3 linked regions of the Schizosaccharomyces pombe genome follow. The gene in region 2 interacts genetically with the main gene of each other region. Each region holds a gene or a part of one and is shown on either strand. Other genes may lie near its edges.

The links.
Region 1: mutations in hif2 (region 2) and iwr1 together harm fitness more than expected from each alone (negative genetic interaction), as found in Schizosaccharomyces pombe (2 studies listed by BioGRID).
Region 3: mutations in hif2 (region 2) and arp6 together harm fitness more than expected from each alone (negative genetic interaction), as found in Schizosaccharomyces pombe (2 studies listed by BioGRID).

What each region holds. Positions count from the first base shown.
Region 1 is NC_003424.3:1,592,877-1,596,635, reverse strand, and holds iwr1 (RNA polymerase II nuclear import protein Iwr1), read left to right. Parts: upstream 1-2,096; 5' UTR 2,097-2,181; coding exon 2,182-2,242; intron 2,243-2,295; coding exon 2,296-2,364; intron 2,365-2,453; coding exon 2,454-2,766; intron 2,767-2,855; coding exon 2,856-3,246; 3' UTR 3,247-3,334; downstream 3,335-3,759. Other genes in the region: glutamate-ammonia ligase Gln1, read left to right, coding at 1-144; signal recognition particle receptor beta subunit Srp102, read right to left, coding at 710-1,225, 1,274-1,441; peptidase family curved DNA-binding protein Cdb4, read left to right, coding at 3,553-3,759. UniProt on the Schizosaccharomyces pombe protein: Directs RNA polymerase II nuclear import.
Region 2 is NC_003421.2:192,455-196,213, forward strand, and holds the start of hif2 (Set3 complex subunit Hif2), read left to right. Parts: upstream 1-1,909; 5' UTR 1,910-2,097; coding exon 2,098-2,149; intron 2,150-2,239; coding exon 2,240-3,006; intron 3,007-3,044; coding exon 3,045-3,464; intron 3,465-3,516; coding exon 3,517-3,759. Other genes in the region: protein pdh1, read right to left, coding at 1-672.
Region 3 is NC_003421.2:1,210,175-1,213,933, forward strand, and holds arp6 (Swr1 actin-like protein Arp6), read left to right. Parts: upstream 1-1,764; 5' UTR 1,765-1,833; coding exon 1,834-1,913; exon of another isoform or gene 1,914-1,984; coding exon 1,985-2,099; exon of another isoform or gene 2,100-2,171; coding exon 2,172-3,182; 3' UTR 3,183-3,485; downstream 3,486-3,759. Other genes in the region: nmd5 (karyopherin), read left to right, coding at 1-915.

The sequences.
Region 1 (3,759 bases), on a different chromosome or scaffold from region 2:
GTTGCCGATCGTGGTGCATCCGTTCGTATCCCCCGTTCTGTCGCCATGAATGGTTGCGGCTACTTTGAGGATCGTCGTCCTGCTTCTTCCATCGATCCTTACCTCGTCACTGGTATCATCACTGAGACCATGTTTGAGCATTAGACAATTTTCCCTCATAATTTAACGTGCAGGTCACGTCGACCACCCAGTTATTAACCATTTTGAAATATGTGTTTAAGTTTTTATAATATCACGTTTTTGTTTGTAGGACTTAATGAGTTTGTTGTGTAGTAATTTTGTTTATCAGCTTCACTTTTTTGTGATGTTTATCTTTTTTTAGAATATTTCATATGATGCATTCGTTGCAGTCATTTTTTTAAAGTATCACCATTTATCAACTGAGCTTGTTGCTCACCTTCTTATAATGATCAAGAGTGTTTTCATTGCGTATGTGAGGCTTTGATACAACCTTGGATTGTTCTTTTCTTGATATTCTTATACTAATATTAATGTTTCTCTTGTTTTTTTTTACCCAAGCTGTCCCTAAGTACAAGTACTTTACGAATCAGTTTGTCAACAACCCTGTTAATTTTTTTAAGTATTTTACAGTATTCACACAAGATTACGAATTTTTGAAATAAAACGATAGCTTATTCTAGACATGCAAAAATATATCTTTTTTGGTTGGTTACTTGTAAATTATCAATTGTGAATAATTAATGCATCTTTATTGTAAAGCTGATTCCATCCATGAAATCCATTCTTCAATGTTCGACATTTTTGCAACGCTGCCAGGAAGGAATTTAAGATCAGTATCTTCAATCTGATCTGCAACTGATTCCCAATCGACATCTTCAGAGACTATAGATTCGAGTTGAAGATTTTTCTCTTCCAAAATATTGTGCAGTTCAGCTTTTAACAATTGTTGAATTTTTTCCGCAGGTTGAGCAGTAAAAAGATCAAATTTATTACAGGCAATTAATAGATGAGGGACATGATGCTTGCGACATTTTAAAATTGTGTCAAACAACATCAATCCAACCTCGTGCACATCCCTGTCAATTGTAGCACTGTTGAGAACGAAAACTACAGCTTTTACATTATAATTTCCAGAGAATTTAGTAGTAATCCAACGTTTGGCCCTGGGATGCCCTGGAAGATCTACTAACCAAGCACCATATTTCCACACAGCTTCATTAGGTTCAATGCTAGGAACTGTAGTTTTCTTTTCTTTATAAATTAGCTATATAACAGTTAATAAGTATTCAAAGATTGTATATTATTGTTATACCTCACAAAACAAAGACGTTTTTCCAGAATCGCTAGGTCCAATTAAAAACACTGCTGGTAACTTCTTTTGAATTGTCTTTCTAGTAAAAAAAATTCCTAGGGTAGATATAATAGCTCCTATAATTATTGTAGCTACAATAATTTTAAAAGCTTGAGAAGTTCCATCCATATGCTGTTGTTGGTACCAGTTGGGTGTGTAGAAGATATATGTCAAATGTTACAAAGACCTCATTTTCATACGATCGTTGATTAAGATATATTTTTCAGAAGAGAGAAATAAATGTGAAAAAAAAAAAAAAAAAAAAAAGCATCCAAACTAGTTCTCGAAGTTTTGTTTAAAAAAGACAATTCTCGTACAGATTGCAGCAGTAGAGATTGACTGTACCCTCTTTTGAATTTAATTAAAACAATACAAAATACATTTTTCCTGAATGTATTACATGAGATAATTGCTTGATTAGACCAATCTTTGTTAATCGTCAAAGTATACATTTATATCATCGGTTCTTTTGAGTGGAATTAATTGTTGTGGGGCATCTTTAAGTTGTGAATTTGTGTAATTAGACTTATTGAATATTTTTGCTTCATTGTTTGCTCAACATTATTTATTATAGAAAAGTTCTTTTTGTTAAGTGATGACAATGATATAAATAATGAACTTCACGATTTTTTATTTTAAAATAATAAAACTATAGAATATTTTACATTTTGAAAGATAAGATTGCGTTGTTGTAATACTACTTCAATCCAAGTTATACTGAAGTTGCTGTCTTTCAGTCGAAGAGCTACTTTTATATCTACCTTTTTTACATTGCAGACTTGCCATCCCCCAACCGTAGATTTTGCTGGTTATATTAATTCCTTTTTTAAAGAGTCGTCTAACTCTCGTTATTAAATTGTGATACGAAGATGCCTCTTCCAGTACTTCGAGTTAAGCGTAAAGCTTCAGAAGATCCTGTTAACGCCCTATGTACGACCAAGCTTCTAAGTAAACTTTCTTTATCTAACTCCTTAATAATTTAGATTTGGAACTTGGAAACAATCCAAATTCTGTTTCAAGTACGAAAAGAAGGAAATTCGCCGGACGATATTGTATGCTACTTCTTGAGCTTTTGTGTTGGAATATTACACAAGGACTAATCATTTGAAAAACACAATTACCTTTTATTGACAGTTTCTAGATTTTAAACTATCACAAACGCTGAAGCAAGATGATCGGTATATTCAGATAAATGATGAATCTTCGGAACCCACTCATGAAGACGTTCGAAATATCCACAGTCATACAAAAATATCATCTCTAAAAAAGAACAATTACGGAATCCCTGTCGTCCAAACTTCTGAAGACGTTGTGAAAGCACCTACGCACATGGACTTGGGATCCCGTGAAAATACAAAAGGTATTCTTTCTTTCTCATCCCCACGCTATACAATTCAGAATTTACCTTCTACTCAAAGTAATAGAGTGTTCGACGCTATCCGTGTCGAACAAGGGTATGTCAACATCAAATAGAGTCAATTACTTAGTTCTGTTGTTATAAGAACTGGCTCTTGGCTTTTTTTACCTTAACTAACATTCATAGACATACTACGTATCATCCGCATCCTCAGCTAGATTCTATGATTCAAGAATATTTGTCAAATGGAGACCTTCCTCTTCAGCAATCTACGGAAGACTACGTATACGATATTTATGAAGCATCTAGCAAAGAACCAAACAAGCCAACGTTTGCTTATGGTGTAATTGATGCTTTGTCCATCCCAGACGCTTTTCGTTCTTCATTAGAACAGGAACTAGTCTCCGAGACAGTGGACTCTGATAAAGATGATCCATTACATGATGAAATTGATGAGGATTCAAACGCTGAAAGCTTCTATCAAAATAGCTATCCCGATGAAGACGAATGGCAAGATAGCAGTGAAAATGATGAATTTGCTTACTCCGATGATGCTGAGCAAGACTTTTATGATTAGATGTTTGCTACTTAAAAAAACGAACAAAATGGAAATCGGTTACAGTTTAATAGGTGAATGATATTATTTGGAGAAATTTATATCAGGAATTTAGTAAATTGTTCTATTGTATTTTTTAAAAACTCATACATTATATTGTGTCTGGGTAATATGTGTAAATTTTAATAGCATTACTATTTAGTTATATCATAGGATTCAATATGAGCCATGTTATTCATGAGTTTGGAGTCCACAATTTTGTGACTTGCAAAATCCTAGCACCAAGTTCTTGAATTTGTAGCCAGATTTAGCTACATCATAGACAATATGTCGACTAAAGAAGCAACTTCAGAGACTGCTGTCGATTATTCTTTGAGTAATCCTGAAACCGTCAATAAATATAAAATTGCAGGCGAAGTTTCTCAAAATGTTATTAAAAAAGTGGTAGAATTATGCCAACCTGGAGCCAAAATATACGATATTTGCGTTCGTGGTGATGAACTATTGAACGAAGCTATCAAGAAAGTATATCGT
Region 2 (3,759 bases):
AAGCTGAGTATGACTTTCTAAATGGAAAAGTTCTTGAACCACAGGATGAACAAACAACACATATAGCTCAGAGATGCAAGTGCCTGAGACAGCTAAGCAGAAATAAGTCCATGGAAAACTTTGAAAAACATAAAATAAGTGAATTGAAAGGAACAAATAAATAAGGTATTTTGACAATGGACAGAGAAATTTGTTTGAAGATTCTTCCTTTTTACACGAATACAATTGGTACCAAGCAGTTAAGATCCCTGCTTGAATTGCGGTCGTACTTTGGATAATTGCGACCAACAAGTAATGTGAATCTGTAATTTTGTATGCAATAAAGCAAGGTATCAAGACAGCAATGTTTGGAATCACTGTTAAAAACTGACAGAAAAGCAAGTACTCCTTATGACCCCATGAACGTTCAATTTCAACGCCATACACCGAGAGAATGAGAATACTTGAAAGTAGCGTAAAAACATTAGCATCAACAAAACTTGTGGTAATTATTGTCCATGGAAACAAGAACAAAGCATTTGGAACCAAATGAAAACATAAAAGAAAGAAAGTTACAATAGAACTCCTACCAAACACTTTGATGTAGATGCTGATTCCAAATGATATTGCAGAAAACAATACCTCTAGGATAAGAAGCCTTTTCGTAACCGAAAACTTGGAGAAATGATTCATTGATAAATTTTAGGTAAAAAAAAATAGTAAAGTTCTCGTTACCGTAAAAATCATCGACGTCAACAATTTTGGTCTCAAAGTAAACAATACCAGGATACCTCTAAGTAAATGGTGCAATCCGAAATAAAATTTCTAGCTGTTTGCATCTAAAAAATAGAAACTCTTACGAAAACTGAATTGGCCAAAGATCGCTTCACTGGAATATAAGCATAATAAGAAATTGCCTATATGGATTAATACAGTTAGTAAATTAGAAAATGAGAAGTTGAGATAAGACACTGCACCTGGTTTTTTAATGCCTTCTCAATAATCTCATTTACAGGGACATTCGGTAGCGGGTAAGATGATAGGTAGGTCATGGCTCGACCAGATTATAAACATCCAGAAAATTACATAACTTTGTAGCTTGCCGATTCTAATAGAAGATAGAAAAGAAGTTTAAACTCGCTGATATATTTGTTTGAGCACAACCTGGTTTATCAAGTAACTATGATCGGTTCGGTTGAGGAGATAAACGCATTCAAAGTTAGAGTAAATAGTAAAGGGAGAAATTAATTTTTATTATATTTGGCAGTTTTTTGAGGGAAACCCTGATGAGAAATTGCTGCATATCGCTCTGCTGGGTTAAAACAAAGTGTTGATTCTCTTAATCGAATAATGTCTTAAATTATTAGTCATAATTCAAATCATCTTTTCCTTTCTTAGAATATAGTGAATGCATTGTTTAGAGCGGTCTTATATCAGAAAGAAGCATTCGCTTGACCTTGAAACATTTGTAATAGAAAATCACATTTCCTTAGCATGATAAGCGGACCCTGAATGTTCAAATTATTCAAATAAAATAGCAGTATATTTTAGAAATAAAAAAACCAAATAAGGCTCCTACCACTCTTGTATGGAATGTTGAGTACAGAAATAGCATACGAATTCATGAAAGTCAGAAAATACAATCTGGCTGCCAACTCCTTAACACAAACTTCTAAAAGTGAATTTTGATTGAAATTAAAAGTCGAAGAGAACTATTAGCATTGCCGTTTTAAGTTGTTAAGAGACCGACTTCAAAGAGGGAAAACTTTACTGAAATTCCTCGGATACAAAAAGTGGGCACTCGATTATTTTTATTTTGATCAAGCGCTGTTTAAATAGTAACCTACGTGCAAATAATAGAGCAGGAAGATTTAATCCACAGTTTCAGCCATCGCACGTATCTAGTTAAATTTCGGTAACTAATACTTCCACAACTACTAAAAACCGTCTCAATGGGAATTCGTCGACAATCCTTCAAGTTAAATCCGTATTGACAGGAAAAGAAAGAAAATAGAAGACTGTTGAGGTTTTAAGTGAAACTCGTTGACAGACCTTAAGATTTGACTTTAATTTACGTGGGTAGCTTGAACCATTATAGATTTAGAAATTGTGGAGGAAATGGATACGAATCAAGTTAATTATATAATCTGGAGATATTTGAAAGAATGCGGTATGTTAAATAGTTGGTTTTTGTGAATCATAGTCGCTTCATCTCTCCTTTTTTTCGGTTTCGTTAACATTATCGTGTTTTTTGTTGTAGGTTATTCGCATACTAAATTTGCATTTGAAAGGGAAACAGGCATCCAAAATTTAGACAAACAATGGGGAAGTACTTGCCAGGTTGGCGCTTTAGTCGAAATTCTGCAGAAGGGTTTACAGTACGTGGAGCTCGAAAAGCACTACGTTGATAATCACTCCTCAAACGAAGAAGCTAGCAAAACATCTATAGATGGAGAAAGTCTTGTAAATGAAAATCCTTGTAAACTCCCTTTCTATCTCACCGTACCTCATATATGCGAAACGACACTGACGAAAGCTGACTCTACCAATGGGTTTTGCGAACACAATAATTCTAATGATCACCAACTTAAAATTTTACAAGATAAGGGGTCTGGGTCGCCTTCATCTCCGGTCATGCCATTTAAGGATAAAATTGAGAAAAGGGATATTGACATTACTATGGCCGATGAATCAAACGTAGAGAAGGATCCGGCTCGACCTATAGCCGTGTACAACAGTTCACCTGTCACGGAAATAACAGAAATAAAACAGGTTACTTTTACTGGCGGCGAAGACATAAAGTCGGATTTTTTCAAAGTAATTCCTACCAAACACCCCGTTACCTGTGCAGATTGGCGTCCACTATTACAAGAAAATTACCATGTTTACGAATTTTCTATTGGTATGACAAACGCTACTCTGGCTTCAGTTAGCATTTGTGAAGAGCAAAATGATTTCAAGGCAAAAACAGATTATTGTCTGCAATCTTCTTTCGATAACCAAGATATCACTGGCGTTGCTTGGAATGTAAGGTTCAAATTTTTTTTTGAAATACTAACTTTTAGAATTCTGGTTCTTTTTTAGCCTACGCATTCTTCAGCGGTGTGATTGAAATTTACGATAGTCATGGTTCTCAAATCCTTAGCTTTCATAACAACAAAGGCCCTGTTTTATCTTTGAAATGGAGCGGTACTGATACATATCTAGCTGCTGGTTCGGCGGATGGAACTATTACACTCTTTGATCAACTGAAGCAAACACAATATTCAATTGACACACTTGCATCTTCCGTTTTAGACATTGAATGGATTAGCTTTGATGAATTTGTAACTTCGGATGTGGAAGGCTCCTTGCGAGTATACAAGGTCGATGGCAAAGCTCCGGTTTCTACAGTTTCTCATGCGCATGATAATTCTATTGTTGCTTTACGATACAATCTACGTATCTCTCTTCTATTAACTGCTTCTAGTGATACCACTGTTAAGGTAAATTTCTTTTGTCATTCTAATAATTACTGTTTTCTAACGTTTTGTATAGCTTTGGTCTAGAGGTGATGCTGGTGCTTTTGAATGTTTACATGTTTTTTCTTTTAGCTCACCGGTTAATTGTATTGACTGGAATTTGCGGGAAGGGACACCAATTCTAGCGGTTGCTTCAAACAGTATCGTTTCTATGTATAATGCTATTTCCCTTCAGCAACTTGCTGTATTCATGAGGCATACAGCTCCTGTTAGTGCTTTGAGCTTCAGTCATAACGGTCGCTATCTTGCTACTGGTGAT
Region 3 (3,759 bases), 1.0 Mb from region 2:
GCTTCCCGTCCTGATTATATCGCCGTTATGGTTGATATTATCATGCAAGTTTTTAATAGCGAGCACCTGGCCGTCAATGACCGTGTTTCGGCTTGTAAACTAACCGAACTTTTAATGCTTAATTATCGTGGCCTTTTGGATCAATATGTGCCTGCGTTTATTGAGGTTGCTGGTAATCTCTTACTTGTAACTGAAAAGCCAACTTCTCAAACATACCGCGTATTTTTGTTGGAGGTTATAATCAATGCATTATATTATAACCCATCGATGTCTCTTGGGGTACTTGAAATGCATCAGTGGACTTTACCATTCTTTGCGTTATGGTTTGAAAATATACCTTCGTTTACTCGTGTGCATGATAAAAAGTTGAGTTTGGTAGCTATTTTATCGGTAATTTCACTGGGAGCTCAACAAGTTGCTGTTGCTATCCAAGACTCTTGGGGTAATATAATGAAAGTCATGATAACTCTTTTAAATACACTACCTGAAGCATTAGCTGCTCGCGCGGAATTAGAAAAAGAGTATGACGGTGAAACATTTAATTTATCTGGCTCTGGTTGGAATGATGGCATCGATTGGGAAGCCGATGATGATGAGGGTGTCGATGACTTTGCCGTCGAATATGGGGGACCTGATTTGGGTGGAGAAATCTCGGCTGATGTGGTTGACGATTTTGACGAATTTGAGCATTTCCAAGGAAATTACTTGTTGGACGAGGATCCTCTTTTCCATACTTTGTTAGATCAAGTTGATCCATTTTCACTTTTCCAAGAGTTTATGGTTCATTTAAAGGACAACAGCCCTGTCACATTACAAGATCTTGTCAAAAATTTGGAAGCATCCGAGCAGCAATCCTTACAGAGATTGGTAACTGAAAAACCCTCTACCCTTGCTGTCGCTTCCGATAAAACATGAGCCTGTTTGGCGCTCTAAGCCTGTCCAATTTTGGTAATAAAATATAAAAATATAAAACAAGCATTTTCTACACAGTGGTAATAAGCCAAACTGACATATTTGAACGGCTCTTTTTAAATGGGAAATCAAACTCTACGGGTTTGTAAAAATAATTTCTTCAATGAGATACGACCCGGAATTATGGCTTGGGAAAAATGGATGGAGGGTTTGTCTAAAGGGAAGGCTAAGAAAATTATTGTTGTATCGGTTTACAGTTCGGTGAAAACAAACGCAGAGGTGTGTTTCTTTTATAAGAATTTTGGAACGCCAATTGATTAAATGAAATTTAAAATCATAATATACCAGTTAATAAATATGAGAAGTTTTAAAATCGATTAATACTAGTTCATTTGCTTTTACTTTATGCGAATTGACAAACGCAAGTTGATGAGAAAATGAAATAGAAATATATTTTTCTTGAGGAAATAAGCATAAAGTTAAGTATCCACGATTTAGTAGTATAGGGAAAGTCGGTGTTTATGAATGGTATATTAGATGTACGTTGAATTAAGCAGCTAACTAAATTGATAACGGCTAGTTTAGGGGTTGGATAATATGATAAACGGCTTTTACAAACTAAATTTGATAGACAGCCCCCCATTAACGATGTTGTTATATTGATAAAGCTAAGATTTGCAAGATTTATCTTTAAAGTTATTTTAAAAAGATATCCTTCAAATTTATGATATTATTAAAAATATCATAAATATCTTTAAGAGCCAGCGTTATTATACTATTGCTTCAAACTGTAATGATATTGTTGTTATAGCACAACGCTATCATATAACAGCATTCCAAAGCCGTAACAACAGTACATTTAATCGCGGTTTTTGGGTGAAGTTAAGACCTAAGATATAGGAATACATTTTTATTAATAATATGGGACTACCCCCTAAAACTATTGTTTTAGACAATGGGGCATACCATATAAAAGCTGGATTTGCAGGTGGAAAAGTTGTGTAAGAAGAAGTGCATCACGTCAATAAATTTCATGTATCTTTTACTTTTTTCAGCTAACGATAGTTTTTAGTGAAATTCCGAATTGTTTGACGAGATCAAAAGATGGAAACAGATTATTTTTGGGGAATGAATTGGCCAACTGTAACGACTTTACAACTTTACAATTTCGCAGGGCGCATGAAAAGGTACAGCATTTATGAGGGAGTATTATTTACGAACAAAATAAATACAAAGATTATGTTTACTAATACTAGTAGGGGTATTTGGTCCATTGGAGCACAGAAACAGCCGTATGGGACTTGGTAATGCGCAATGTAGGTGTGATGGAACCTAGCATGGCAGACTATTCTTTACTGCTTACACAGCCCGTATTTACAATGCCTTCCATAGAACACAATACTATACAACTCGTGTTTGAGGAATTCCAATTCGATGCTTACCTCCCTTGCACCCCAGCTGAGCTAATTCCTTGGGATCATGGAAGTTTCACAATGAATCAAGAAGATGCGTATACTGGTCAACATGGAGAATGCGTTTTGGTAATTGACTCTGGATATAGCTTTACACACATAATTCCTGTGATTGATTTCTCTGTTCAAGAACAAGCGGTAAAGCGAGTTGATGTGGGAGGGAAATTACTTACGAATTATTTAAAAGAAGTCATCTCATACCGGAAGTACAATATGATGGAAGAAACATACATTGTTAATGAAATTAAAGAGTCCGTTTGTTATGTGTCTCAAAACTTCAAGGAGGACATGGAGATATGTCACGAAAAACCACGGTCAAAATTGGAAATTTGTTATGCTTTGCCCGATTACAGCACTGGAAAACATGGATATATTGTTAGAGATATTAATCAAAAAATAGAGCAACAAGTTTTGAATCTTTCAAATGAGAGATTCATGATACCAGAATTATTATTTTCCCCATCTGATATCGAAATACGTGAGGCTGGGATTCCAGAGGCGGTCATGCAAAGTGTCACCCACTTTCCTGAAAATATACAGGCAATGTTGCTTGAAAATGTTGTTACAATAGGAGGAAACTGTAAATTTCCCGGATTTCATAAAAGACTATCATCTGAATTACGGTCGCTGGCACCAGCTAATTGGGAAGTTAAAGTTTTTGAACCTTCAGATCCTATTTGCTTTCCATGGAAAAAGGCATCTCATATGCCGTTGGAGCACTGGAATGCGAATAAAATAACTCGTTCTGAGTACTCAGAACATGGAGCAAACATAATGACACGAAAAAGGAGAATATAATAGATCACCATTTTAAAACTCAATAATGTGGGTTAAATTTCTATCTTCACAAAATTCTCAAGGCGAGCTGATAATTCGCATCTTAAGAAATTGGTTTATTACATTAAGGCTACAGCAATATAAAACGAAAAATATGCATGCATTAAGAATAAAATCTTTTTATATTAATTAACGAATCATTCTATCTCTTGATCAACCACTAAAACAACAGCTAAATAACTATATCTTTATTATTGTCGCCAGGATAATTCATACCTAAAAAGCGTTAGCGAAATGAAAGATATTATAAAAAAGATAGGAATGAAAATCAGTATACAAGTATAAAAATTTAACCACATAGTTGTGTCTTCAAGACTAATCGATTTGTAAAGCATCATATGTAACATTCTATCTCTTCAAGTGTTTATACTTACATATTATTAATGTGCCTGAAAAACAAGATTGAAAAAAAAGAAAAATTTCAGCACTTCTTCACTACTGTTTCAAGTGCATTTTATATGTACAGTGCAGTTTCAGGTTGACAGTATAAGAGTTAAAGCAACCTTGAGTTAGAGCAGTCACGGTATACTACTTTAAT